Caenorhabditis elegans: one gene and its partners. The protein of the gene in region 2 purifies or fractionates together with the protein of the main gene of each other region. This does not show direct contact. Each region holds a gene or a part of one and is shown on either strand. Other genes may lie near its edges.

What was found.
Region 1: the proteins of ZK470.6 (region 2) and clec-91 fractionate together in Caenorhabditis elegans (co-fractionation; one large-scale study listed by BioGRID). This does not show direct contact.
Region 3: the proteins of ZK470.6 (region 2) and etfb-1 fractionate together in Caenorhabditis elegans (co-fractionation; one large-scale study listed by BioGRID). This does not show direct contact.
Region 4: the proteins of ZK470.6 (region 2) and npr-22 fractionate together in Caenorhabditis elegans (co-fractionation; one large-scale study listed by BioGRID). This does not show direct contact.

What each region holds. Positions count from the first base shown.
Region 1 is NC_003279.8:9,124,108-9,130,790, forward strand, and holds clec-91 (C-type lectin domain-containing protein 91), read right to left. Parts: upstream 2,995-6,683; 5' UTR 2,924-2,994; coding exon 2,800-2,923; intron 2,748-2,799; coding exon 2,378-2,747; intron 2,320-2,377; coding exon 2,136-2,319; 3' UTR 2,033-2,135; downstream 1-2,032. Other genes in the region: ZK858.2 (uncharacterized protein), read right to left, coding at 9-80, 237-334; ZK858.8 (t-SNARE coiled-coil homology domain-containing protein), read left to right, coding at 621-745, 1,218-1,347, 1,400-1,508, 1,578-1,822, 1,869-1,979.
Region 2 is NC_003284.9:4,173,351-4,180,298, forward strand, and holds ZK470.6 (MD-2-related lipid-recognition domain-containing protein), read right to left. Parts: upstream 3,958-6,948; coding exon 3,859-3,957; intron 3,811-3,858; coding exon 3,591-3,810; intron 3,544-3,590; coding exon 3,330-3,543; intron 3,279-3,329; coding exon 3,134-3,278; intron 3,014-3,133; coding exon 2,921-3,013; 3' UTR 2,715-2,920; downstream 1-2,714. Other genes in the region: mrp-6 (Multidrug resistance-associated protein lethal(2)03659), read right to left, coding at 4,879-5,055, 5,105-5,380, 5,765-6,013, 6,059-6,262, 6,665-6,768, 6,843-6,948.
Region 3 is NC_003279.8:2,416,103-2,423,812, forward strand, and holds etfb-1 (Electron transfer flavoprotein subunit beta), read right to left. Parts: upstream 4,252-7,710; 5' UTR 4,245-4,251; coding exon 4,197-4,244; intron 3,937-4,196; coding exon 3,469-3,936; intron 2,747-3,468; coding exon 2,495-2,746; 3' UTR 2,359-2,494; downstream 1-2,358. Other genes in the region: F23C8.13 (PDZ domain-containing protein), read left to right, coding at 1,080-1,472, 2,269-2,355; did-2 (Charged multivesicular body protein 1b), read right to left, coding at 4,860-5,336, 5,397-5,503, 5,562-5,595; F23C8.7 (Tyrosine-protein kinase), read right to left, coding at 6,303-6,497, 6,548-6,693, 6,741-7,119.
Region 4 is NC_003282.8:8,556,103-8,565,343, forward strand, and holds npr-22 (Neuropeptide receptor 22), read left to right. Parts: upstream 1-3,329; 5' UTR 3,330-3,365; coding exon 3,366-3,515; intron 3,516-3,895; coding exon 3,896-4,028; intron 4,029-4,176; coding exon 4,177-4,718; intron 4,719-5,148; coding exon 5,149-5,276; intron 5,277-5,334; coding exon 5,335-5,499; intron 5,500-5,633; coding exon 5,634-5,697; intron 5,698-6,573; coding exon 6,574-6,696; coding exon of another isoform or gene 6,697-6,739; 3' UTR 6,740-7,059; downstream 7,060-9,241. Other genes in the region: mpst-6 (thiosulfate sulfurtransferase), read right to left, coding at 7,502-7,680, 7,723-8,065, 8,115-8,495. UniProt on the Caenorhabditis elegans protein: Receptor for the LURY-1-1 and LURY-1-2 peptides which control food-related processes including feeding, lifespan, egg-laying and roaming behavior. Receptor for flp-7 which stimulates serotonin-induced fat loss.

The DNA of each region.
Region 1 (6,683 bases), on a different chromosome or scaffold from region 2:
ATATATACCTGATTGGCATGAAATCTGTTGGAGAAACAGTAACAGGAGTTGCGACTTCGAGTGGACTTGAAATTATGTCTCTGAAATCACCATAAGATTTAGAAAACAAGTACCGTATATCAGAAACCCCTTACAGTAACCCAATTCAGACAACACTTCTTGTAATCACAAAAAAAGATATGTATATTGTCAGAATTTTCGCAGTTATGTACACTGGATGTTTCGATATAATTTACCTTGGATATGGAAGTGGTCGTCGAATTGCAACGGGTGGCGTTGCCAACAGAGACATTTGACTAGAATCAGATTCAGAAGCTGAACTTGGAGAAGACATTGATAGTGATGGTTAGTTGAATAAGATTGTTAAAATTGAAATAAATTGTTTTCAACTTTTTATGAACTATTTTGTTTTCTAAAATTGTTTTTTTTGCGTTCTGGTCAGGGCGTAGGAAATGTAATATTTAATTGTAATATATAATAAAATTAGAACTGAAAAAATTTGTTCTACGTGAAATCCTATTTACATTATAACTTATTCCAGTTGTTATCAATCACTATAATCGAATGTCGAATATTTTTTAAATCATTTCAATAAACTCGATAATCTCTGACGTTCCGTCATGAATCCAATTTGGAATCCCGAATTCCATCAATTTATGATGAATAATCAACAAAGAGCTCAAGCTGGTGGAAATCGACAATTTCAAGCAGTTCAACCGCAAATTAGACAAAATCAAGTCGTGGAGTAAGTGACCTAAGTATGAAGCAATAATATTATGTGTCTCAGTTATACATATCTTCCTCGATGAGCTTCAAGGAAAACGTTATATGGTCTCACCGCGAGCAACGCGCCTGTAAGGTTACTGTAGAAATGCGCATATTTTATGTCTGGTGTTCTGAATAATTCATCGCAATTTCAGACGAAAACATTACGATACCAAATACTAGTTAAAAACATTCTTTAAAAAATTAAACAATTTAATAAAAAAGAAAAATAATTCGATACCATAATTACAGTAACCTTGAAGGCGCGAACAAATACAGATTTTTGTGACTTCCGGGTGCGGCGGGACCATTTGGAATACATCCCTTGAGACTTATAGGGTTATGTTAAGGCAGGGGTACTGTAGTCTTACTTAAACATTTCACCGAAAATATAAGATTATTTAAAAGTTGTTGGAGAAAAATCACAAATATTGACTGAGCTCCTTCTTCAGCAGAAACATACAGCCCCCCCGACGTCACAATGCTCCGGCTCCGAATCAAAATCGTAGAAACCACCAGCAACGTCATAACAATATGAATATGCCAAGAAGAGGCAATCTTAATATTCAGAGAGATGTAATGGTGAGAAGTTGTTTTTTCTTTGTTCAAATTGTAATGTTTCGAGTTTTTGTAGTCAAGAGATGAACTGGAAAGAATTGAGACAATGACACGTAAGAATTATCAAACAAGAACTGCTGTAGAGTACGATAATCGAGAGAATCAATGTTGGACAAATATTTTAGGTCGGTCTGTCTCGTTTTAGAAAAAATTTCAAAAAAAAATCCATCTGCATTTAAAAGTTAATTTTTCAGAAAACATTGAGCAACAAACGCATCAATTCTCGCATTCCACGTCTGATCATAATTTCAATGGCGGCGATATTTTCATTCCAAACGAGGAGAGCATCCGTTCGACACTTCGTGCTGAAAATCAAGCTGAAACAATTCTGGCGACACGAGACTTGCTTCTTAATTTCGGTGCCACGGAGCAAGAGTTGAGCGGAGCGCTTGCCACGTTGGAAATTCACTTGAGAACCAACGCGGCTGAATTCAATACTGTAAGTTGAAGTTTTTGCAGTGATCTACTTATTGAAACTTTTCCAGATTGATGATCTATCCAACGAACTAATTAAAACTGCCGGACAATTGACGACGGAAATCGACGAACTTGATGATATTTTAAGCCGCATTGATAGACTTCGTATTCAGAAATAGATGACTACATAAATTCGAACTTGACTTGTATGTGTGTGTTCTATAAAGATTCTACAATGATAATCATTTATATTGTGAGAAGAAATTTTTAAAATAAGTAGTACAAAATAATTCTTAATGTAAGAGATATGTGAGCAGTTTCGAACATATTTTAGATTAATTTCTAGCGTTGAGAATGGTTGAATTGCGTTCGCAGATTGATTTGAACGCCATAGTGCACGGATAGAAGAAGGTGTACGAAGCAGATTCGACTTCGGTTGGAGACTGGAAGCTTGCAGCACAGTTGGCATACGATGACCATCCATTGACGACTGGTTTGAACGGTTTGATGAGCCAGTTGCTGTAAAATTATTTTTTGAAAAATGCGAAGCGATATAGAAGATTTAGTGAAAACCCACATCTTAGATGGATTAATGGATCCAGTAGTTTGCCATCTTGGCAACTGCTCCAATCTTTCGTAATGTGAGAATCTAACGAGACCGATCCATGACAAGACTGACTTTTCAGCGTGATCGCGAACAGCATCCCATTCTTCCATCGAGTTGGCAACGAATAGTGTCGCCTGCTTATCGTGGCACTTTCGTTCGGCTTTTGCGAATCCAAGTGATTCTGTTTCGATGAAGTAGCACGAGTCCGAATATCTCAACCAGCCATCCGGGCAACGATCGGATTGATCGATTGGAAGGGGTGTCGGCTGATCTTGAAGCGGTGGAAGATCCTCGAATGCGCTGGTGCCAAGATCCTTGTGGTCCCAGTTGTAGTATGTCACTGTAAGATTGATTAATTACCAAACAACGATATTTTCTAAATCAAAACTTACATCTTTGATGAGGTTGCTCATCGGAGGAATGCGCGAGAACAGGCGTCTCATTTGTGTTGTCAGCGACGACACCGCCTCCAATGATGATCAGTGGGACGATGATAAGGATGTAGGTCGATCGCATGGCTTTGTTGAACATAAGAGATATCTGCCAGCTCTTTGATTTGGGAAATATTTCGTTTCATTGATTCCCATCTGCAAAACAAACATAATTTGGCGGGTAGATCAAAAAAGGAATAGATCAACAATTTATGAGTGTGGGATGCTGTTTTCCTATAAAAAACATCTTATACGTGCGTATAAATAAGATGTTATAAACCGGATGCAAATTTTCGTTCGGTGAAAAAATTTTCAAATGTGTGTTTTAATGCTTCATTTTACTTTTTGCGTTCATATGAATATGAATTCATTTTCCTAACTACATATATTTAGTCACAATGTTTGAGATTCTGCTCTGAACTGTGATGTTAGAAAATCTACATTTACGAATTACTTTTATTATGACTTGAATCCGCTATCGCAAAATAGAAAATTACGAAAAAATAAACATAAATTTCTGAAAAACTGATCTTTGGCACAATGGGAAGAGGAAGTGAATCTTTTTTTCTGATTCTTGAAATTTCCACTCAAAATTTCACGAATGTTTCAGAATTTTATCAGAGTTTGTCATTTGACTTTATTTCCATGAAAAGCTAACATTTTTTCTGATATGAAAAATGCACGTCCCGAATATGGAATTTGATACTTCGAATTCACGTATGAGACACATCATACATTTGATTTATTAAATACTGTACTTTTCAATAATTATTTTTGAACTGCGAAGCTTTGGGATAAATATTCAAATTCTTTAAAATTTATAAATTAAGATATAAAATCGAAAATAAAAATCAAATAAAAGAATTGAGGTTAAAGGCGCAAGCCATTTTAGGGCACTTGGGTCTTGAGAGGACTACTACAAAAGCGCACAGTGAACTCCTCTCGGACAAAACTTTTTTTTTGTTTGTTATCCTGTTCCGAATTTCTCTGTGTTTTCTTCTAATTTTCAAGCATTATTTCTTGAATATAAGTTCCATTTCTAAATTCTGCACCAGAAACAGGAGATATGCTCTAAATTCCCCATGACATTATTTGAGAATCATATTCCTAATCCTCACTTCCTTATTACAAATCATATTATTCATCATCTCCTCTCACTTTGTTGTTTCGAGCTATGAGAAGCGTGCGGTTTCCTTCTAGATCTTTGTTTTTGTGCTGCATAAATGTTAGATCTTTGCTTTGTTTGGTCTCGGCGCGAAAATAAAAAGAAACTATAGTGTATTCCCGCTCCGTGTTTCATTTGAGAGCACATATCGAACACAGAACTCGACGCTATGTATTTTCTGTTTAGTTTGATCACATTGTTGAAGTTTGAAAATGTGTTAAGTTGGAATGAAACGAACAAAAGTGTTGCAAGAGAACACAGGTCACGGTATGGTGAAAAGTTCAGGAGATCATTCAAAATTTTGCTGACGTTTGATTTCGATGTTTTTTCAAGATATTTCAAAATGTCTTGAGAAAATGTCCTTGAGAACTTCCCATGAATCACGTAGATGTCTTTTTCTGAAAGATGCATAAATTATGTATTTCCTACGAATTCTGATTTTCTAGCAGTGTCACCATTTACAATTTCTTTAACTCCGATAATATACTTTTTCTCATTATCCATCTCTTTGTTTCCCACGAGGAATTTGCAGGCCAGGTTTGAGTTTATCTAACTCAATAATCACCCATATGATCGACGAGGAAAAAGTTGATCAAACATCAAGTGTTCATCATCAGCCCCTCTCTTTTATATATTTGAAAACGATTTTCTAACAAAAAGAATTGCGAGAAGCACACCTTATCTGAAGTTTCCCAATGCGAGGGTAAAGCTCAATGTTCTCAATGATCTCCATTCCTCACTTTGTTTATCTAATTCTCTTCTCTCTCCTACCTATTTATAGTCTGATGTCTTGCTGGGCTTGCTGTTTGACCGTTGATCGTCTGCGTCTCCGAGTCAGGAGCGAAGCGTTGTGTTCTTCTCTGCAACTCTCTCACTCTCGTTCGCATCAGTGAACAAAGCCACAGAGAGACATTTTCCATTCGTTGGCCGACCTTACTCTCTTTTTCCTCACATAGAGTGGGTCCGTGCCATTTCTTCTCGTTTTTCTCTCCTAGACAACGTGTTTTTATGGAAAATCATTAGTTTTTTGGTCTTCATACGAAACATCAATTTGAGTATTTACAAAGATCTGATATTTTGGCTTCATATGCTACCCAAGAGCTTCATTCAAAATATATTGATGTTTTTTTTTTCTATAAGATTATAAAAAATTTTACGAAATTAACTATTTAATTGTTACTTCAATTTCGATGCCAACGTAGTTGTAGGTATTCGGAACAATGATCTCTGTTATTCCATTTTCCCAGACATCCTCGAAATCGAAGATCCTCGCGATAAGTTGTTTTCAACTCGCTCTACCGTCACAAGAAAGTTTTTCGGTTGGTTGTGCGAACTCTAGTCGTAATAAAACATCCGAAAACAAATATGGGTTTGATTCCTTGATCTATTAGTTGTTAGCAACGATGTTTGCAAATTTTCTATGCATTTGATAAATATTTTCATATTTCATGTCCTGATGGATGATGATCTTTCATTTATCGACTTTCAACTAGCGTAGTGTGTAGTCTACATTATGACACTAGTATCTTGATTCGCCTCCGCGTCTACCGACTTTACACACTGTTTGTGTGTCACAAATGTTTGAGGGAATAGTGTTCGTTTTTCTTTCCACGTATCTTCTTGCTGGAAGAGGGATCAGAAGAAGGCTAAAATATTCGTAGCTTTATCTTTATCGTAGTTTCGAGCCTATAATCTATCCCAATCTCATCATGCTAAGCTGTAGCATGGCTCCGATTAGAAAGTAAAATACGGTTTTCATGTTTTGTAGCCTTTTGGTAGCAACAGAGAGACCGTATCTCTCCTTCTTTCATATTCTGTGTCCACTTCTCACTCATTGAATCATACATCTCTATGTTTTCTCATAGTCATCATATATTGTCAGCTGCAGAAATCTCATCATTTTTCCAAACGAAAAGCTCTTAAGAGAAATGCTTGTTTTCTGTGGGGTACAGCGAATGGCTTCTGTGGGAATGCAGTTTGTGAATGTAAATAGATTGTTATGCAGTCTTGCAAATGTGTCGGAGGCCAAAAGTAGAGTAGACATATTTGAAATTTATAGCTTTGAGTGTCCTTAGTCTATTTTGATATTTCATTTCTGCTTTCCTCAGTCTCTCATTCCAGCTGCAAAAAATAAAAATAAGAAAAAACACGAATCCCGTCCATTCGCCATTCAACATAGATCATATTCCTCAGATTTTTTGCAGAATATGTAATTTTTGCTGAATGCTCGCTCTATTGTCCTTCATTGGTTATCAATCTTTTTGCATTAATAGCTTTAATTTTTGATGTTTTCGAAAGATTAGGGAAAAATTTTTTAATGTGTCTTTTGTGACTTGAGATTATATGCTACACTGAAAAAATTGGTCGCATAACATTTCAGAGTTCAAAGTGTTTTTTCTTTCGATTGTGTAAGCGGCAAAATTCTACTTTATCATGCATTTTTGTTTCAATCAAAAATTTGATGTGATTTGTACATGGCGTCGGTTTGGTACTAGTTGTCCACTTCCTCAGCCATGAAAAGTGTGAGTAAGTGATAACGTTTATTATCTTTTTTGAATTCATTCTATGTTTAAGCTACACGTATTTAACTAGCTGACTCATTTCCACCAAATATGCCAAAAGACCTCCGAGATTTTTTTTTGAAGATAATTTCGATTTCGCAGAAAAAAAAACATATAAG
Region 2 (6,948 bases):
AAACACTTGGCTCCTTCTGTGAATCCTTCATCCCTAACTCGAGAATTTTGAGCTTTAATTCTACATCAAGCATACCACAATCCGGACGCAAAACCGACAGATTCCCGTCCTATGGAAACAGTGGATAACTCCGATCGAGCGAGTAGGCAGCGATTTGACATCTCCAAAAGGCTACCGATCTCAACTTGTTATGTATATACTCTAATAACTGTTTTCTTGCCAACGTGTACAGATTATTTCACTATTTTTTGTTCCAAATGTTTTTTGTCCGGTCATGTTTTACCAAATAAATGAATGAGAAATTCAACGATTTTTTGTTGTATTTCTGAAAAATCGAAAATATATGAAAACAATTCAATTGGTCATTAACAGATCAAGAACATGGACGTGAACATTTGAACTCGGAGAAGATGCCAATAACAAAACCAAGTGACATACTTGACATGAACAGTTGAATTTTTTATTAATCCACTTCCTTGAGTAAACTACAATCATTAAGATTAAACTGAAGTGAGAAGATAAAAATTTGAAAAAATTTAAAAACAACAGATAAGACGGTTTTATGTTTTAGGACTTCATCGTTCAACTTTCCAAAGATCGTAATCAACGAACAAAACACTAAATCACAAATCTTGAATTATTTTGAAATTTTCTCTTAAAAAAATGCCACAAATTATTCATCGCAGGGTTTGAGGACTGTTAAAACTTGTGAACTCACAACTTGTTTCTCAAGTGTTTGTGAACGTTACATTTTAGGTTCTCGTGCATTTTGATTGTTTTAAACAAATTGAAACGTGACATATGTTCAGATGTTCTAGAATTGAAATGTCCCATTCTTACTGAATATTCCGGCCAGCAGCTGTTTGTGCAAGTTCTAGGTACGGTTTTAAAATTGGTTTAAAATTTAGCAAATGTTGGAAAACTTTGACAAAGTTTTATAGAATCCTGCCCAAGTTTGAAAAACAATTCTGTGTCGTTTTATACTTGGGTAAGACTGGTCAAACTTTGAACAATCATTGAAAAAGCTTAGATTTGAGCTCCTCAAATTTTTGCTCGAGTCAAGCTTTTTTTAAGTTTGACAGTTTCACTCAGTTAGAAAAGGTCTGTTTCAAATATAAAGCATTAAAAATACGTCTTACATTTCATTTAAGTAGAAAAAACTGTACATATGCTATTTTTTTTACAAAGCGTAACACTTTACTCCAAAGTATGAAAGTTTTCATTGAAGCTGTAGTTGCGCCAGCGAGGAAAATTATTAAAACCTCCTATAATGCCAAAAATGGCCAAAAAACATTTCAAGAAGTGATGAAAAACGTTTTATTGACATTCAAATAGTGTCAATTACTGAGTTTGTGTCACTTTTTGAGAAAACTGTCGCAGGTTGGAATTCCTAAAGTGTTAGAGTATTAATATATGAAAAATAAGTCCATTAAAGTCGAAGGATCATTTTTCTGATTGACGACTTTCAAAAATCTGTGTTAACATTCTATGACAGTTAATAGAAATAAAAAGATTTCAAAAAAATTGTGAAGAGTTTAACTATGATATTTGGAAATTTTTAAACAAAATGTATGGTTTTTACTTATTTCCCCAGTAGGGTTACTTTGCCTTTGAGCTTACTCAGAAAACAAAAACTAAAAATAGGCAAAAGTTGTGCATGACCTTGGCAAAACTTGGAGGTTACACCAATATGCAACTGCAACTTGGATTTTGGCAGCACCAAACCCATGTTTGACTCAACTCTTGCCAAACATCTACCCAAGTTTAAAACGAAACAAGAAAATTTTGGGCCAAAGTTTGGCTAGAGTTGGGTCAAACTTCGGATAAGCTTTAGCCCAGCCTGAATCCAAGTTCTGCCAAAGTCCCGCCCAACTTTTGTCCAAGTTAATATTTTTAGGGTCAAACTTGAGCGAGAAGTTGAAGCCAAATGCCGAGAAGATCTAATATTAATCAATAAAAATTAAACAAATATTGATCATAGTCAAAGTACTTTGAAACCAGATTTTCATATTCAATCTTTTATTTTGACTTATTTTATTGTGTTTTTATATTGTACCGAAGCTTTTTATTATCTGCATTATCAGAGTTTCTCAGAACATTCCGCAATCTTTGTAACCTAAAATTATTTACTTCTCTCACATAAGTTATTACCGTATCTATTGTTGTCCTCAGCGTTCCCATCTTTCCAAAATGCCAGTGCACTAATTATTTATTGTGTAAAAGGTTAGCAAAAGGTTTCTTATACTAGACTGCATTCCAGCTACTGGTCTTATCCCGAACAACGCTTCCACTTCATTATCACCATTCCCGCGCACTTTCCCCGGTGTTATTTACTTTTTTCTCAACGATCAGGTTTATATACATATTTTTTAAAGTTTCGTTAATGTTAATCGCTTAACATATTGCATTTGATGCTCATTGGTCGACAAAAGTTTTGCAAGTAGTGTACATTACTCAACAAATATTATTTGTTTGTTGTTTTTCTTTTTGACTAATTAATTCCTCTGGAAGTTTTCTCCGCTGAGTAGCAAGAAATTAATTTACTCTCTCAGCAGAATGATTATGGAATTATGGAATTTTCAGCGTTATTACTCGAGATAAACATGTGTCAAAACAGAGATCTAACGAAAGCCGGATCCCATGTGATTTTCAATTCTTGTTATTCACACATGCACCTTAGTTGTTCCAGACCATTCCCACATATCAAAACAGAATATACTATATTATTCATTTTTTGATAACCTGTAACAGAGAGTCATAATCATAAACAACTGGATGAATAGAAACCACTTGGTTCTGGTGTTCACTGGGGGAGAAGGTAGGGAAGGGGAATTAAATTAATTGGGTTGCGTCCCGGTTATCGTTCATAAATACTGCTGATAAGGATCTTGGTAATAAATAAATAAAAAGTGTCTTGGTCTCAGAGTGTGATTCTAGTTTGGATCGTAGCACAAAGCAACTCTCGGTAGGGATCTCGATTGTCTCGGACTCGAACCATCATTTGGTAGGCGGACTGAAAAATTGAAGTATACTGAAGAAGTGGATTTCTTTTTAATATTTCAATTTAAGAAAAAAAAACGTATTTGCTAAGCGTCCGTCAACGGCTCTCCAGTACAATAGCCATCGCGTTTACCTTATGGTCAGTACCCACCAAGTCATAGTGAATCATTCGGAACAGATTCGTAAACAACTTTGTTGGATCAATCTCGAATTCGATAACCTGACGTCCCGGAGTCACCGGACATGACGGGTTGTCGTCACACATATCATAGTTGCTCCTTAAAAAAACATTCAATGTTTTTCGGTGTTCTGCAAAGAAAACAACTTACAACAGCCCAAAGCTTGGTAAAAACATCCACCCACATCCGAACCATCCGGTTGAACGTTTAAAGATTGACACTTCGACGCCCAAATTGTCATATCGTTTGTTAGAATTACTGGTGATGTCGAGGAAAATTCGAATAGGCGAGTTGAAGGAAACCGGGTAGGTATCATCACCGTTGCCGTTTGTAATTGCACCGCCGTGAAGTTCAAACTTTGTGTCTACAATTTTTGGTATTTAGGGCTCTGTTTTACTAGAAGTACTGTACCTTCTTTACACTGGAAAAACGACGGACGAACTCGTGTTCGATTCGGAAGAGCAACGCATTCTTCTTCTTGTTCTAGAGAAGAATCTGCCATAAGGTATGGAGCATCCGGTGCAACTTCAGGGTCATCAGTGTTATCTTCGTTCGAGCCAGCTACTTCTGCAGCTTGATTACTGGCATCTTGATGGCTACCAAAGTTTTTGAAAGATCGAAAACGAGCAGGCTAAAAAATAAACTAAATCAAAACAAACACAAGTAAACAAAAAAATACCACTTCTTTTTTAATTTCAGCGCTATCTTGCTCAAATTCTTCTAAACTTGCAAAAACAAAAGGGAATATTAAGAATAGTAGAATAAAACGGAAATTCATCGTTAACAGAATTTTTGTTGAAATCTTCACTTGGAAACTTTTTTGGAACTGGCCGCAACCTGGGTGTATCGAATGTTTAGAATAAAACACAGATGAGTGCAAATTGAATAGAGCACTCGACGCACGAAAAGGTGCGGGTTGGTTTTTGAATTGCCTCAGGTGCTAGCGGGAGGTCGACGGGTGCGCTCTGTTCTGCTGTTTTCTGTGCTTTATATACCTGACCGTCTTTTTTTGTAGAGCGCCCAACATGTGGGGCGTTCTTGAAAGTCCGACAAAAACGCGATTCGCACCTGGTTCCAAAGCTCCGCCAAATCACTCGAGAGCCCGCATTTGTCGCTCGATCAATTTCTAATTAGAGCAAATGGTGAAGCACTCGAGATTGCCATTTTTGGCATTTGAAGATTTGCTCATTGCTTTCTAGACGGCTCTCTTCCTCACTCTTGACAAGTTTTTATCAGACACTCGTCACAGAAATGGTCTGCTTATTTCCATGGGACAGTGCAAACACAGAGCACAAAATAAAAACAGAAAAATAACAGAGTTTCTTTATTGGAAAAAAATGAGGGGGATGGAGAAAAGAATAGCTTGCATGAAATACATGTTTCGATTAGAATCATGAAAGTCAGAAAAAAACCACAGAACAAAATTGCTGATATTACCAAAGAAAAATTAAATTCGACACATATAAAGCTACACGATGTGGACGATGCGATCACTGGGCCAAAACCGAAATGATCTTAGATCATGGTATGAACAAGGAATTATTGTGCTCAATGGAATGATGGAATAAAAAGTGAAATAAAAACAATCTCGATTCCCTTTGAAAAGGTGACATTGAACAATTGAATTGCTATAAAATGATGTGAAAGTGAAACAAGTTATGATTTGAATATTTAGAAAACATGGAAATTTAATGAAACTTTAACTATTATCCGTATACGATGACTGATCATCGATTGCATGGGCCAATGCAGCCGCCCGAAGGGAGTCAAAATTTTCAGCCCCTGATTGAGCAGCCATTCTTGAAAACAGCGAGCTCTGATCATCCAGCAAAGTGATCGGTTTGTCAAACTCGACGAGCTCTCCTTTTTCAAACACCTGCAAGTTGCGAACCTAGGCATTGTTTGCTTGTTGAGAAACCACTTACCATTACATTATCGCTGTTCATAATGGTGTGAAGACGGTGGGCCACCGTGATGATTGTGGCGTTTTTGAAAAAGTCTCGAATTGTTTTCTGGATGCAAGCATCTGTCACTCCATCAACATTTGCGGTTGCTTCATCAATAACAAGAATTTTGGATCGGTGGATCATTGCTCGGGCAAGACAGAAAAGTTGACGCTGACCGACAGACAGGCTGACTCCCCGTTGGCCCAATTCGACGTTCAATCCTTTTTCTTTTGTGATGGAACGTTTAAGCTCACACTGAAAATTTTTTCAACGATTATCCTACAGAATCTATTAAAAATTTCGATTTCATATGAATTTCGGAATCTCGTATTAAATTAGACCGTTGGATCAGATTTAGGCACACATAGGACAAAACTAGGGCTACGGTGAGGTGAAGTTTGAACTTGGTTAAAATATGAGAAAAAGTTGGATCAGACTTGGGAGGGGTCATGTCCAAGTCTTCCTCAAGTCTTGCTTATGTCTTGTCCAAGTCTTGCTCAATCTTTGCCCAGTCAACATTTTACTTTTTCAATAAAATTTGTAAAGCCAATGGTGTTAAAACAAGATTATAGGGGCCATAAAAATGGCTTATAAAAATTTCATTCTCACATGTTATTCTTCAATAAATTAAAGCCATACCTGCTCTAACGCAAACCAAATAGTAGCATCATCATACTCATCGAACGGGTCCAAATTCTCCCGGACCGTTCCTGAAAAGATTACGGGCTCCTGCGGAATGATAGACATTCCTCCTCTTCTGAAGTTAAGACTAATGTGATCCAGATCCACACCGTCGATAGTGACACGTCCAGAGCAGTACTCTTTCAGTCCAAAAATAATTTTAATGAGTGTTGATTTACCAGCACCAGTTCGGCCGACGACTCCAATCTAAGTTTCAGAAGTAATACTCTGAACAAAAAGTTAGTAACTCACCTTTTGTCCACCTAAAACAACAAAGCTAAGATTTTTGAGTACTTTGGTCTCCCCATAATTGACAGATACATTTTCAAACTCGATTTCTCCTTTCGTTGGCCAAGAGTTCAGTAGCTGTTTATCGAGGTATGCATCATGTGGTCTTCTGGCTTCTTCTTCAGATTTCAATTTGGTGTACTCTAGCACTCGTTCCACGGAAACCATCTGCAAATCGACAGTTTGAATTCAATCCGCATACTACTATGTTTGTATTGTCTTCATTTGCAACATTTGCTGTGTTCACATTGTATTCATTTAGAATAAAAGACCGAATTGAGAGTTTCGGGTGGGTCGCTCATTTGGCGCCACCATGACAAACATTCCATTTGTGTTTGTTGTGATGTGTGTGTGTGTGTGTGTGTGGAAAATGCGACAAACCACTTCAATCGTCTGATCAGGGCAGTTCGCGCTTGAGCATTGTCCAAAACTCTTTATAATCATGATGTTTCGCCAACCGCATAGTGAGCTCAATTCGACCTTTGATGGCGGAGCAGGAGGAGGAGAAGGGGGAGCAAATTGGAGGAATCTCCCGCGATAAAAAAAGAAACAAGCAAAAAATAAACTCACCCCGTTCTCCAGCTCGGCGCTTTGCCGCATGATCCACGAGAAGAATCCACTCAACTGAACCGCGCACACAAGGCACAATCCGACTTCTCCGACGGTCAGGGTTTCTAAAAATCTCGGAGTGTTGTTTTGAAATAAGATACGATGGACGCGGTGGATAAACGTTACTGTGTTGACTTACCATATTGAAGAACAACAACAATCGCCACAATGGAAACGAAAACAGACACCAAAAAGTCGATGCAAATTCCGAACCAACGGGCGGACAAAAGTCCCATGTTGTACGC
Region 3 (7,710 bases), on a different chromosome or scaffold from region 2:
TTGTGATTTTGCTATTAGTGGTCCTGGCACGATCGAAACTTTTTCGCAATTTTCTAAGAAAATTTCGTTGTTTTAAACATTCTTCTTTTAATTGTAGATCAATATATTTCTCGATTTTGGAGCCAAAAAGTTGTTCCGGTCTCGACACGATCACGTGGTTCCAGGCTGTCCCATTGCTGTTTGATCTACAAAAAATGCGGAAATTTTTTGCCTAAAAAAATGTGACGTAAGCACGTGCAAAATCAGTTGAGAACTCTGCGTCTCTTCTCCCGCATTTTTTGTAGATCTACGTAGATCAAGCCGAAATGAGACACTCTGATACCACGTGTACACGACAATTATCGATTATGCACATACAATTTTTCCCCTATTGTGCGCCTCTAAAGAGTACTGTAGTTTCAAACTTTTGTGGGATTTTTATCGATTTTTTTTTATTTAAAAAACTGAATTCAATTTTTAAAATGTTTGTTAAATAAAAATGGATGCGCGCCTTTAAAGAGTACTGTAATTTCAAACTTTCGTTGCTATGAAATTTGCATCGATTTTTTCGTAGTTTTTATGTTTTGTTTTATTTCTTTTTTTAAATAAATAAATATATTTTTATCGAAAAACTACGAAAAATCTATTTAAAAAATTCCATAGCAGCGAAAGTTCGAAATTACAGTACCCTTTAAAGGCGCTCACCCGTTTATATTTAACAAAAAATTTTAAAATCGAATTCAGTAATTTTTTAATTAAAAAAATCGATTTTTAACGAAACACTATGAGAAATCAAAAAAAATCCCACAAAACTTTGAAGCTACAGTACTCTTTAAAGGCGCACAATAGGGGAAAAATTATTATACACATATGTGCATAATCGCGGCAAGACCCAAGAAAAAAGAAGAAGAAAAAGCCAATTTAGTGAGCACTTGAATGAGTAATAGGGCTCGCTCAAGTCCGATGAGCCGCGGGTACACATAATTGGATGGCCGCTACTTTTTCTTTTCTTTTTTTCTTGAGCTCAACATGCTTAGCTGCACTCATAATTCAGTTAGGGGTCACTTTTTTTTTCGAAAAAAATTCTAAAAAACTTCCAGAGCACACATCTTCGAGAAGGCGATCGTCTACTCCGGTGCAACAAGATCTCACTTCGCGCCGTTTCCGTAGATCAGGCGGCGAGCATCTTCCGATTCTGGATGTCCCGCTCCGATTCGCTGACTCTGTTGATCGAACGAAGATCCGACGGTGAGAGTGTGATGATGCGGCGTCGGCGGCAGGCGAGGCTCTCAATGTGCAATGAGCAGCGGGAGCAGACACGACACGTCGTTTCAGGGCGAGCCACGTTACGGATGACGTCATCAAGGTCGGCAGAGGTATTCCGGTGTGGGGACTCGACGTCGTTCCGCATGAAATCTCCGAAATACGAGTCATTCAACACATCATCGCCCTCAAAATCCATATGTCCCCAGTGCAATTCTCAGACTAGAATGGTAAGTTTTTCTTTTTTTTTTTCATTCCAAAAATTCCAATATTACGGGAACTTAAAAATTCTTAGAATGCGTATTTCGCAACATATTTGACGTGCAAAATATGAAAATATCTCGTAACGAAAACTACAGTAATTCTTTGAATGACTACTGTAGCACTTGTGTCGATTTACGAAAATGATTTTTTGTTTGAAAAACGAAGAAAAATTGAATATCTTTGTCACTATTCGAAATGAAATTCATTTCAATATTCGAGCCCGTAAATCGGCCTACAGTAGTCATTTAAAGAATTACTGTAGTTTTCGCTACGAGATATTTTCATATTTTGCGCGTCAAATATGCTGCGCTGTACGCATTCTCAGAATGTGTGAGTTTCCGTAATACTATAAAGTGCAATTGCGCTCCACGGACAAATCTCCACCCCAAACCGTTGGGTCTCGTTAGGAATTGGCGGGAAAACCGTTTTTGCCAATTTTCCAGCATTTTTCGCTGTTTTCAATGAGTTTTTTTTTGTCAAAATTGAAAAAGTTAATGTCATAATCATTTTTAACCATAATTTCGGCATAAAAACATAAAAAATAACGAAAAATGCTTGAAAACGGGTAAAATCGTCGGAAGTAATCGTTATTTCGACCTAAAACTTATAAAAAATATGAAAAAAAGCTTAAAAATTGGCAAGAATAATGTAAAACATTTGAATTTCCCGTCTTGCCGCCAAATATTTACCTAACGAGACCCATCGTTTAGGGGCGGGGCGCGTAATTTTTCGCGCCCAGATAATAATCCGTAATATTTCCAGATCTACCTACACCAATTCTCCCATGGTTTTGTGAACAATGCATTCCGTTTTTTGATCGTTTCCCGTTCAAGCTATTCACTTTTATGAACAAAAATAATTTTTCATACTTTTTTAAACCTGCATCACATAAAACATTGAATAGAAAAAATAATAAAAATAATTTAAATACAAAATTTTCTGATTCGACTACTACAATAATTCAGCGGCGGAAGAGGTTATCGGGGGCTTAAGCCTTGACGAATCCCTTCTCCTTGAGCTTGGCGACAAGTGCCGAGACATCGTCGACGAATCCTCCGGCCTGGCGAACTGGTGGCTCGGTGACTTCAAGAGTTTCAGTTTGTGGTGTGATATCTACATTCAGATCTTTGATTGGAATGTTCTTCAGTGGCTTCTTCTTGGCCTTCATGATGTTTGGAAGAGTCGCGTAGCGGGGCTCGTTGAGGCGAAGATCGGCGGATAGGACGAATGGCACTTTGACCTGGAAAATAGAAAATTTTTCGAATAAAACTTTAGATCCGTGAATTTTGCAAACAAAATAGCGGCGCGCAGAAATAGGGGCGGGGCGTTATTTTGCAACCTTGCGGCACGGTTTTTCCTCCTTTTTTCGCTTTTTCAATTTTTCATGTTTTAATCTCCTTTTTTTTCGAATAAGAACGTTATTTAATTAACTATCAAAATTTATTAATCGATCCTTGAATTTTGCAAGAAATTTTGTCGCCCAGAAAGTGGGGCGGGGCATAGCTTTTGCAACACTGCCGCACGGGGTTTGCCTCCGCCCCTTTTCTACTGCTTTTAAGCTTTTCTTGTTGATTTTTTCAATAATTTCTTTTTTTTTCGAATGAAAATCCAATTCGAAAAAAAAGAGAAAAATCGAAACTTTATTGAAAAAATCAACAAAAAAAGCAGTGGAAAAGGGGCGGAGACAAACCCCGTGCGGCAGTGTTGCGTAAGCTACGCTCCGCCCCACTTTCTGTGCGACAAATTTTTGCAAAATTTAAGGATCGATTAATAAATTTTGATTTTAAATTAAATAACGTTCTCATTCGAAAAAAGAGATTAAAACATGAAAAATTGAAAAAATCAAACAAAAAACAAGCGGAAAAAGGAAAAACCGTGCCGCAGGGTTGCAATATCAAGCCCCGTCTCGCGTTCTGTGCGGGGCTGCTTTTCACGGCTATCGATCGATATAGTAAGAATCACCTTAATCGTGTCAAGACCTCCATCAATTTCACGGGTGACCTTCATGTGTCCAGCGCCTGCGTCTTCAACCTTCGACGCGTAGAGAGCCTGTGGCCACTCGAGCAGGCCAGCGAGAATCGGAGCAGTTTGCGACGAATCATCATCGATTGCCTGCTTTCCGAGAAAAACCGCGTCGAACTTCTCCTGCTCGACAATCTTCTGAAGCGCCTTCGCCACGTGGAATGACTCGAGCTTGCCAGCTTCGGCGTCGGTCACCTGAACGTGAACTGCCTTGTCGGCGCCCTTCGCCAACGCGGTCCGGAGCACTTCGGCGGATTTTGGTCCGCCGAGCGAGAACGCGACGACTTCGGTGGCGAGCTTCTTCTCCTTGAGCTTGACGGCCTCCTCTAAAGCGATCTCGTCGAATGGATTCATGCTGTGTTGAACTCCTTCGGTGACGACTCCCGAGCGGTCCGGCTTGACACGGATCTGGAAATTTTGGGCTTTTATAGAATCGAAATGTGTCTAAAATCTCCAATTTATCCAAGTTTTCCGTGTCACAGCGGTTGGAAATCAGCTTTTATTGCCAATTTTAATCGATTTTCCGTTGATTGGGGTACACTTTGAGCCAAAAATGACAAAAAACTGATTTCCAACTGCTGCGACACGGAAAAGTTGGTGAAATTCAAGATTTTCGCCGAAATTAAGCTGTTTTTTCGAATTTTTTGCTCTTTTTCCTGAAATCCTACCTTGACAGCATAGTCGACAACTCTCTTGACTCCGACGAGAATCTTCATCGCTTGGCTGGAAGAAAAACTGGGAATAAATTTATTTATTTATTAATAAATGAAGAAATGATCGAAAAAAACAGCGGCGGCGGGGTCAAAGTACACACTTCAGAGTTCAGAATTTGATTTTTAAATTTGAATCAATTAATTAAAGCCGAAATTCGAAATTTTAGCCGAAAAATGTTTAAAATAGCTTTAAAACTGCCACGTTTTTCCTTAAAAACCTTCGAAAATTCCGTTTTTTATAGAAAATTCGTGAAAAATAAGAATAAAAATAATAAAACAAGTGATGAGAGAGATAAGACGATGTGGAGAGAGAGTGTGGGAAGACGAGAGACGCAGAGAATGAAACGCGGGCGGTGATTGTTGTGGCCTACACGTAAGCGACCGATTTGTAGAAAAAATGTTCTGAAAAATAAAAGAATAAATATTTCGAAGAAGACATGAGCTGAACTTCGTAGATCTAGATAGATTAGATAAAACAAAAAAAAAGCAGAAAAATTGTTGCTTCATTATTGAGAGAAATGTTGTATATACAAGAAAAAAAGCAGTATCTTAATTTTAAAAATGAAACCGTCAGCAGAATATTCATATTCACAGAAATTTCTTGAGAAATCTGGAAGATCACATGTTGCGAAGAGCAGCCAGGCGTTCTGTGAGGTCCTTGTCTTCTGAAACAGCTTGCGTCCCGGTCGGCAGAGCAGTTGGCACGTTTGACGGAAGCTCCTGGTTGAGCTCGATGCCTGCCTTGTCGGCGGCCTCTGCAATCAGAGCATCCACCTGTGACTTCGGAGCATTCAACACTGTCGTTCCGTCCATCGTCTTTTCCATCGTCTTTGTGGTCACGTCGAGATCTTCGAAATCTCTTTCGAATCTATCCATCAACTGTTGAACTTTCTCGAGATTCATGCTCTTCATGGCGCTTTCCATGGCTTTCACTACGCCGCTCATGCTGGCGGTTACTCGTTTTTGTGTGGCGGCGGTTTGAACTCGGGCGGCCACTGCGTCGATTCTGGCGGCCATTTTAATGTAGTTCACTGCTTCATTCTTCTTCCTGATCGCATTTTCAGCATGAACCTGTGCGACTTCTTTGTTTCCTTTCTGGAAAAAATCGAATTTAAAAAATAATTGTTTTTTTTTTCATTTTTAATTATTTTTTACCTTAATAGCTGCCGTCAGCTTGTCTTTCTCGACCTTTTCATCCTTCTCGCATCGTTGAGCATTCTTTTCCAACTGTTTCGCTGCGAATTTAAGATCAAATAAGTGTTCTGGAAGATAAAAACATGAAAATAAGTCAAAATCAAGAGAAATCAATTTGAAACTCACTTTCCAAGGCCATACTGCTTTCTCCGGCTCCCATGATGATTTTATGTGTATTAAGCTGGTATTTGAGTTTCTGAAATACGAGAATTACGGTGAGAAAGTGCTTTTATAAGTTAAATTTCGCAAGAAAGCGATAAAAACAAATTCATGAGTCATGTGTGTGTATCTGCGGACTTTACGTCATAAACGACGACACTTGATGTCCGCAAGCAGCGGATCTTACGACAATTTTGGGTTGTAGAAATTTCTGTATTTTAAGTCGGTTTCAGGCTATAAAACACAAAATTATCAACGTCAAAAATATTTCCAGATCCGCTATATGAATTTGAAAAAATTAACATCGTAATTTCACCGATAGATAAAATCGCACAAAAATAAACTACCATAAACTTTTTTGCGTGCCAAGACCAATCTGAATAAATCTGTGCGCCTTTCTTTGAAAATTACTGTAATTATCGACTTTTCGTAGTTTTTTTGTAAAAAAAATTGAATTTATTCATCAATAAACTAACAAAAAACAGTATATGTTTTAACAAATCAAAAGAAATAAAAAAATTGAAGAAAATACCGCAATTTTTAAATTACAGTACTCTTTAAAGGCGCACACCTTCACGCATTTAACAAACAATTGTCGTTTCGAGACCAGGTACCGTATTCTTCTCTCGAATTCTCAGGGTAATAAAACAATTTTATTAACATCTCAAGTCAAAACTATCAAAACTTTATTTCCGAACAAATCAAAGATCACTTCGGCTTCTTCTTGTTGTTTCTCTTCACCGAGAACATTGGCGGCTTCATCGTCTTCATCTCCTCCTCGGTCGAGCGATTGCTCGATAGAATCGATAGAACCACTGGCTTCATCCCAAAAGTTGTCTGAAGATAGCGCAGAACATCCGCCATGCTCACACGATCCGCCGGATTTTCAGCCCAGCAGTGCTTCTGAAAAATGAGAAATTAGTAATTAGCTATAATTTCAGATTCAAACCAACCGTGACATAGTCGCCGAATCTGAAGTCCACAAAGACCGGATCAAACCGCATGCGGTATCCATTACGGACCTTTCCGACGACGTCAGCAACTCTCATGTCTGGGTACGGCTCCTTCCCATTCTCAGTGATCTCCCAAGCCATTATTCCTGAAAAAATGTCTATTTTATTTGAAAATGTTATTGGAAAGACTAACCGAACGCAAACACATCAGTCTTCGGACTATAAATCCCCGCTTTCAACGTCTCCGGAGCCAACCAACGAATCGGAACCTTCTTCGTCAGGTCCATGACATACGAGATTCCCTCACGGGATAACCCAAAATCCGCAATCTTGACCTGACCACCTCCATACAGGCAATTTCTCGCCGCAATGTCTCGATGTAGAAGTTTCTTCTCGTGCATATACGAGATTCCACACGCTGCTTGGTAGATCATCTCCATCTTCTTGTCGGGCACCAAATTCGGATTCTTCTGAAGGTACGAGTCCAGGGCTCCACAATCCGCCAACTCCATGATGACGTACAGCGGCTCCTGGCTTGCACCAACTCCGTAGAATTTAACGACATTTGGATGCTGCAAAAAAATTAAATTTTTGGGCGAAATCGAAATTTAAAAGGAGTTTTCGAGTTTTTCAGAAAAAATAACTCAAAATTTCTTCTATTTTTCAATTTTTCACAAGATTTCAGTGAGAAATCATTGCGTTTTCATGTAACCTGGGTCCCACCACGACTGTAAAATTTTTCTCAGTTACCGTACTCGCGAGTACGCACGCTTCTGGCTTCCCTTGAAATGGAAGAGTTTTTGCCGAACTAGGCCATTTTGGCTCGACCATATCTGGGGTAGATTTACGGCGCGTTGCGTGTCGCGTCGCGGCTCGGTTTTAGTTGTAAAACTAAATGTATTTGTCCGTGTAGAGTACACGACTTTTCCACGCGTTATCCGGCGGGCGATTGTCAATGGAGCGCGAAAAATTCAATGAGGAAGGCTAGAACCCCGTGTAGTTTTACAACTGAAATCGAGCCGCGACGCGACACGCAACGCGCCGTAAATCTACCCTAGACATGGCCGAGCCAAAATGGCCTAGTTCGGCAAAAACTTCCATTTAATTTGATGAGGGAAGCCAGAAATCCGTGCTCGGTCCCGTCACGCCTATGAAATTTTTCT
Region 4 (9,241 bases), on a different chromosome or scaffold from region 2:
AATTTTTAAATTTCAAAAGTTTAACTTTCTGTTCAAAATTTTTTTGTTAATTCTTTGCACTTTCGAGTGGTCGTCGGTGTAGAAATTGTATTACTTGTTTTTTTTCTAGTTTCCAATGTCAGTTCCAACTTTCAAGTACCTGACACTAATTTATATGTTTTTTCAACATTCTTTGTCATTTAGAATCAGATGTTTCATAACTCAAAAATTGAGTTTTTCTAAAAATTTGGTTTTTATAATTTTTTAAAGAAACAAAGTTTTGAAAATCTGATTTGTCACCTATTTAAACTTGTTTCCGCCTTCTCAAATGTTATTTTCGGAGCCAATCATTTTCAAATTTGATCTGAACCACCTTCCAAATCTAGAGTATTACATCATTCAAAAAAGGTTCAAAGTCACCTTCATTCTTATAGATTTTTCCATTTTAAGATCAAATTTCAGAGTTCTTCGTTTTACATTATTCCTAATTTATTTCAAATGTCATGCTTCGACAAGTTCTCTCATTTTCTCTCCATCTAATTAGTGCGATATGAGCCGTTTTTTTCAATTTTTCATCTCCCACATTTATTTTTTTATTTTCTTGGTAACATCAATTCTTTTGAAAATACTATTATTATCTATTCTCACTATTAAATCAATTTATTGGAAAAATGAGAGTAATCCAGTCTAGACAAAACAGATATTGTTTTATTTTTTTGGAAATTTCTGGAAAAATCCAATCGAGAAAACTTATAACTGACGGTTGTGGTTCTTCTAGTGTTTGAATACCTAAAAGCTAATATTTTCAGTTTTCTGAAAAAACTATGATTTTACTATAAGGACATTTTTTGAATGTACACATAAAGTATAAAAACTGAAAGTATTCTGAAGCTTAATAGTAGAGTACCCCACCCCCATAGTTCTCTTGACCGCATCCTAACTTTTGACCTATATATCTTCTCTTGGCCAATGGACCGTAATCAATTATGCTCTTCCGTTAACAAATATTCTATTGAAAATGTCTTGCAGACTGACAGAAATCCGTGTGAAAAAAGTGAAAAAGTCGGATGAATTATTTCTGAATTCCAGTTTTTGACTAGTATTTTTTGAGTAAAAGTTGTGGTTCTTCTAACTAGTATATGCACGTAGAAAACGCCATCACAAATAAAAATATCATTAATTTTGCTCTTCATTGAATTTCGAAAGTTTTTTTTGAGCAGAATGCACTTGGGTTTTGAACTTTTTTAAAAATTATTCAACAGCTTTCTGAATCTGTCTTGTAATGTTTGAAACCTGATTGTGAATGAAACAAGAGTGAAGTAAAACAAAATAAATTTTAAGTTCGGAGAATTGATTATAAATGTTTATCTTTTTTTCTTTTTTGAAGGTGGATGTGGAGAAGTTGTCAAAAACCATTCCTATGATGCCAAAATGTTCAAATACAACTTTTCAAAATAAAAAGTGTGAAAATTTTTATTGACAGTTTAAAAGTGGCAATTACTGAGTTTTTGCCACTTTTTGCCATAGACGACTTCCAAAAAGCGAAGACTTTTCCAAAGTTTTGAAGCTTACTTGACATGAATGTTTTCTTATTTTCAGTCAACTTTATCTTGTTTTTTTCACAACATCGCACTACATCCAGACACATTTCTGTTGACTCAATATTAATTATTTATTATTTATTATTCATTTTGCAAGGATGTGGTGTTCTTATTCCTATTTTTATATACTTCTCCTTTTTCTTTCAGAAATTCTAGAAATTATTTTTATGCTAATTGAGATGTACATTTGAGACATTTTCATGCCGTGATGACGTAATCTATCTGAATCTTGAGATATCTATGTACATTCTTGCTAATAACGTGAAAGGTGTCATATGTACTGAGGTCTACCTTATCATTTCCTGATTATAACATCATTGAAACATATTTTAGACATATTTTAATAAATTTCAGTTTTTTTTTGTCCTATCTGGTCAATAGTTTTTTCTACAAAAAAATAGACAAATAAGAATTAAATTCAGCTAAAATTATTGAGATATAGTGTTGAAGAATACGATAAAACGACGGTAATCTTTCATTCGATTAAATTCTAGAAACCAATCGCGTATCCAAAATCTTAAATTTTTATAATTAACAGTTAGCTAGAGTTTCTTTATTGGAACATACAATTAGCACAATACAATTGGAAAACTTCGGTTTAAAGAATCTGTAACAATTTTCTTTTACTTGATTTTGTTCAAGTTTCTCAAGTTTTAGCACGTGCTCTAACCCTGCAATAAAAGTTTGTACTTTATTCAAGTATTCATATTGTACTTGTACTCTATCGTATGATCATATTACTCATGTCTAAAACTTCGGTAGACACGCATTTTTCCAACATTTTTCTTCCATAAATTCCTGTTATCTTGCAAAGTTCATTTGTAAACTAATACAACACATGTCTGGCTGATTTGACCTTTCTCATTGAAATTGATGGATCATGTGTCAAAATGGGACCACTACAGATCACTAGATACTACTATCACTATATCACTATTTAAACATGGCAGATTTCAAGAAAGTTTGCCACATTTTCAGATGAAATCATCTTATTAATTTTGATTTCGAAAACAGATATTAGCAGCCTACCTTCTGGATTTTTCGGTTACAATGTACCTATTTATTAATCAAAAACTATCACTTCTGCATTTTGTAATCATTCCCCAATCATCCTTGTGCGAAAAATAGGATAGTTCTTCAAGTTTTTCCCTTCCCTATACTTTTGCCATATATTTTTTTAATTCCCACTGGACTTTCCCAAAAGAATTATTTTTCGAATATACCACACTTTTAACAAATTTTCTGGATTCGGAAACATTATATTTTTTTTTCTACAAAACCGCAAAGACTATAGTCATTTTTCGAGGTCAACAAACATCCAAATATCATTGCGAGCATCCTATGTTCCTCTAATTCTCTCATACTTTGCTTCCGAAAACCCAAGAATCACAAAAAAATCTTGTTTGATCTTTGCCTTATTTTTCCAACTGCTAATTGACCTTCTTCGTTTATATAATTTTTCACTTTATAGAAATTTACTTTTTAATCAATTTCAAACAACAAAATTTGATACACTTTCTTAATATTATCCTTCTCCTACATTCTCATAAATTTGAAGGTTTCTCTTTCAACATTTCTGATCTAAAAAATGTGCGAGAAAATACATTCTTGGTTTCTTCATATTCATTTATTTCTCCGAAATATGTTCTCTTTTTCTTTGTTTTTAATTTTCGGTTTTCTATGAACAAGTGGTCTTCCTTATTTGGAACACTTCCCCAAACTCTTTCCGAATAAATTGTTTTAAATTTCAGATCGAACGATTCGTCATCTAATTCGTGAGCAAATATGGACGAAGGAGGGGGTATTGGAAGCAGTTTGCTCTCCAGAATCACGACGACAGCCTCTGAAATTATGATGCGAAACGAACCGACGACAACTGAAAATCCAGCTGTTCAAGAAATGAATCATATTTATCATTTGACACCAAGTATGAAGGTGAGACTTTTAAAAAATATTCTTATACATTCAAAGTATATCTAAAAATCCAAATTTTACAAGAGTTTTGAAACTTTGAAAAAAGGAACTAAAATTAGTTTTTTTTACATTTCATATTTAGGCAATTTGGCCATGTTTTTAGCCAATTTTACCTGCTGAAAATTGATTTTAACGTGCCATGTACTTTTATTTTAGTTAATTTATGATAGCGTTTTCTTCAAAACTTGAACCGTAAATAAAAAGTTTTGAAAATTTTTCAAGTGCTATCATTATTAAAATTCGGTATAATTTTTAGAGGCCATTTTAAGTGTAAAAAATGAATAAAATTACTACATTATTACCTTTAATATTTGTACCTATTTATTACTAATTTTTTACAGATGTTATGTATTCTTTTCTATAGTATACTTTGCGTATGCTGTGTCTATGGAAATGTGCTCGTTATTCTGGTTATTGTTTATTTTAAACGACTTCGAACGGCGACTAATATTTTGATATTGAACTTGGCAGTTGGTGGGTTTTGTTACTTTTGAATTTTTGAAAACTTTTTATAATTTTTCAAATCTCCAGAACTTATATGAGCTTCTAAATGGATAAGTTTAAAAAATTAATTAATCTAAGATGTTGAGCAAATTTCCCAAAAAAACAACTAAAATTGCAGCTGATCTTCTCATATCAGTATTCTGCATTCCGTTCAGCTATTGGCAAGTATTGATTTATGATGATCAACGTTGGCTCTTCGGCTCAATGATGTGCTCTTTATTAGCATTCCTTCAAGCAATGGCTGTATTTTTATCAGCTTGGACACTTGTCGTTATCAGTTTTGATCGGTGGATGGCTATAATGTTCCTTTTAACTCCAAATATTCGAATTACAAGACGAAGAGCTCTTTATCTGGTAGCTGCCACGTGGATATTCAGTATCCTAATGGCGTTGCCGTTACTCTTCACAACGAGATTTTTCGAAGACCAAGACGGTTTACCGAATTGTGGAGAAAATTGGACGTATTTTGGAGATTCTGGAGAACAAGTGAGAAAAGTGTATTCTTCAATGGTCTTAATTCTACAATATGTTGTACCTCAAGCAGTTTTAATAATAACTTACACACATATTGGAATTAAAATGTGGAATAGTCGAGTACCAGGAATGCAGAATGGAGCAACAAAGAAAATGATCGTTGATCGACATGAAAGTGTCAAAAAGGTGAGATTTCTGGAATTATTAAAAATTTAAGCCTAACCTTTCAAAAACTCCCAGTTTTGATTTATTAGAATAATAAGAATATGGAAATAATGCAACAATCAATGGCTCCTCAGTGCGGTGATGATAATAATAACCATAATCAAAGTCAACCGACCCCTATATTTATAGGAACAATATTCTCATGTGTAGCATAAAAATAATAATCAAAAATCGTTTTTGACATAACCTTTTCCAAATCATTATTAAGTGAAACTTTAAAATTGAAAAAAATTAAATCAAAGTTCGAAGTTATTACATTTTACCTGCCTATTACATGACGGTTTGATAAAGTTGTTCAGTAGATTGAAATATCGTTTTTACTTATTTTTATCAAATACAATAAATATTACCGCGTGAGAAACGAAACCTGTTAATTAAATAAGATTTTTAGCTGGTCCCAATGGTGATTCTCATTTCGGCACTCTTCGCACTTTGTTGGCTTCCTTTACTTATACTGATCAACGTCATTCCAGAATTCTATCCAGATATCAACAGTTGGGGATATATTCTGTATTTGTGGTAAGAAATATTCTTTTAATCTGACTCAATAATTTGGTTTTAAAAATCGCATTTTGAGGTGGTTTGCTCATGGACTTGCCATGTCTCATTCAATGGTCAACCCAATTATCTATTTCATTCGAAATGCCCGTTTCCGTGAAGGATTCTGTTTCTTCTCTTCAAAACTTCTTCCATGTATATCATTTAAAGAACTTCGTCTTTTAACTGATAATACTAGCAGAAGGTATGTCAATTTCTACAAAGTTGTCTGTTTTTGAATTGAAGCCAAGAGTTAGGAGCAATTCAGTTTATTTATGTATCAACCTTATTTGTTGATAACCAGTTTGATAATTTTAATAACTCAACAATATCATTCAGTTTTCGAAACCGTTCACGGTTTTCTGGTGTCATAAATCCGACTTCAAGCGATGAAAAACCTGCTGTAAGGATGTTCTCTAACCCATGTTTTTTGTCCTTCTTGACTTTTTGTTTGGCTTGGCTTTTTTATTTTTACATTTTAAAGTTTATTTTGCACTGCTTCACATGCACTAATATGTTGATTAAGTTAATTTCATTTTAAATTATGAGTATATCGTATTTCCTCTTTTAGTATTGCACACCATTGTTCAACTTTGACAGTGTATATCTCAGTTATCATTTGTTCCATTTAAAAATTGTCAACTAACAAAATATTTTTTAGTTCTTTTTCTATAATTTCGTAGTTAAAGATATAATGATATATTCAAAATAAACCGATATATAACGTTACAAAGTAAAGTTGTCCGGTGCATTACTAAGAGAGGAAATACGGTACGTTAAATTAGCAAAATTAAAAATCTTCTAAGTCAGCCTAGGTCGTTCAGCGCAGTTAATTTGCGATGGACCCATCAGAATCCTAGAGCAGTGATTTATCTACACATCGTCAAAAAAATCGGACATTGCGCATACTGCGACTCGTAAGCTGCCTATAATGAGCACATTGAGCCAGGATTGCTATGAAATCATTGTGCTTGTTTACTGAGTCATTATGTGCCTGTCGCGAATTAACTGCGAACTAAATTTTGCCACCAAATGATAGAGGGAAAACCCCTACTACTGAGAAAGTGTTTGCCGATGAAGTTTAGCGAAACCTAGAACCATAAGAACTTGTAAGTAAAACTTTAAAAACAGTTTTTAAATTCAAATGCTTTACTTCTAAACCCTTTTTATTAATTAAACGCCTCAATTATATCCACTGCCTAGTACACATTTTCCAATCTGATTATTTCCACAACATCGACTTTCTTCCTAGCCACAACCTAATTTTCAATATTTTCAGACATCGCTTACGAGATATTCACGAAGTGGAGTCCTTGACAGGCAAACATGTCGTTCGGCACGTTTCTTCGAAGCCCGACCACTCGTCGTCGTCCGAAACAACTCTGCCAATTCTCTCGCGTAGCTTTTCCCGTATCATTAAGAAAATTGATCTACCATGTACTTGAGTGGAAAGCTATAGAAGACCATAGATTCAAGGTTTTTGTTATTTGAAATTGTATTTTAAAGCATAATTTCACAAATTATGTTTATATTCCATCCATTTTATTGTATTGTAAGAAAAAACCCCTCAGATCTCCTAAGAAACAATTTTATATGAAACATCAATTGTTGTCTGAAACGCTTTTCATACCGGTAAATACTCGCCCCACCAAATCCACGAATCATCACCAATATTTTAAACTTGTACCATACAAATTGCGTGTTTTCATTTTATTTGAATATTTTTTCAAAACTAAATGTAGAAATAAATGTTAGAATACTACAAATTTACATCTGACAGATTTAAAAGAATCCAATGAGTTGACTGAAATTTTGTAAACTGGCAAATTACTGAGCAATTCAGATAAATATTTGATTGATTTCGGTTTCAAGCTTGTAGTTCCACGTGTGAAGGTTTATTTACAGAGATTCGGCATTTGTCTATTTTTAGAAGGGATGCATTTTCCGTGAATTGTATGCAAGTATTTTATTAAAGAAAAATGAAATAAGCAGTCTTGATAGGCAGACACTTATATTTAAAGTATATAGTCACTCCAGAAAACAGACAAGAAAACAATCAAAGTGAACAATTTTTATGCATTTTCATTCAATCTTTATTCTTCAATTTTCTCATACACTTCACAAAAGTAAAGCATATGAAAACCAAAAAACACAAAACACCGTCAGCGACTTGTTGTATGCAGAAATAAATCAGAAATGATTGTCACTTATCCCTTTGTGTTGAGATGTTGTGGCGCCTTGTAAGCCAACTCGTGGACTCCTCCATTGTACAGCTTGGCAACGATTCCGGAACGAGCAGCCGCGAGCCAAATAGCTGAAGCTGAGAGTCCGATTCCGCAACCAATGACAACGGTGTCTCCGACTTTGATTCCCTTGGCGGCGAAGGCTGGAAGTATTCAGTTAACTTCTGCAAATGATATCAACTAACCTTGATCACAATCAGTCTTCTTCTTGAATCCCTTGGCAGCACAAACTTCTCCGATTGGGAAGTGAATCGCATCCTTGCAACGAACACCTTCGGCTTTCGAGTCTGGATATCCAATTGGAACTTTTCCGATAAACTCTTCCTTCGAACGAGCATCCAAGTACTTGATACTAGCCAAGTTATCGAATGGAATATCAGCCATCTTGGCAAGAATGTTGTTGTCGACCGATTTAGCTTCATAGTTTCCAGATGAGATCATGCTCTCACCGGATTGAACGACACCTTGGGCAAGTTTGAATGCTTCAATACCACCGTTCAAGACAGATACGGTAGTATAACCATAGTACTGGAAACACAAAGAATTTAAATTTATTCTGATACATTTTGAAACTAACTCTGAATGTCCAGTAAGCACGAGAAGCAGCAGCCATACCACCATCTTTTCCACGTCCATAGATGACCAAATGATCTCCGTTGAATACACCCAATCTCTTAACATACGACGAGAATTCCTCTGGAGTGTACAAAGTGAACCGCTCATTCTCCGATGGATAGTATGCAATGTCAAAGTTGAAGTGAGCAGCTCCATTGATGTGCTCGGCAAGGTACTCAGGGTTCTTCAACTCATTCATTCCAACACCAAACTTGTTGTAGTACTTGGCCTTGTATTCGGCAATATCGGCTTTCGGCTTGAAGGTCCACGAGGCGTCAAGGATGCGGATGTTTCCAAAGTTTTGGACTACCCACTTCGGCTCGACAATCATATCCACAGCCATGGCTCTTCTTTCTTCAGTTGGTTGATAATCGCTGTTGTCACAAGACGATAAACTGAATTTTCGTTGCAAATCCCCTGTATTTACCCTTTTCTTATCAGGATGACACAATCTAAAAGGTTACAAAGGTTATTCGAGCATCACGTAAATTTTGATCTTATGGAAATTATAAAAGTCAGCATTATAGATTGGTGATAGTTGGGAATCATTTAATTTAATTAATTTACGCTCTCGAGGAATAAGTGTGAATAAAATAAATAAAGTAAAATAAAAGTGAATAAATGCATAAATGTGATTTCTCAAAAAATTTCTGAGCTTGTTTGAATTTAGATAACACTGAAGACTTTGAATCATTTTATAATTTAATTTCAGTTTCTCTGACGGCGACGAACAGATCATGCTTGATTATGATGCAGAAGAAGAACTGTTGGAAGATCCGTTCAAGTCAGTTTAGGTGTTCTTGAAGCTTTCTAAAAATAACTCGTATTCTCCAAGGGCACAAATCTGATTGTTGTTGAGGCTGGAAATTATTAAAAATATTCTGAGGAAGTGTTTGCTATGTAAAATTAATTTTTAAGCTTAAAACTGAGAGTGAATTGAAAGAGGACGGCATAGAATTCGTGCACCGCTGCCTGAATTCTATGTATTTGTTTATATGTAAATTCATGGACACCACTCCAGCCGCTGACCGCGCCTACGGCGCGGCCAACGACTGGCAACATTTGAAATGTTTGACACAATCATTCAAA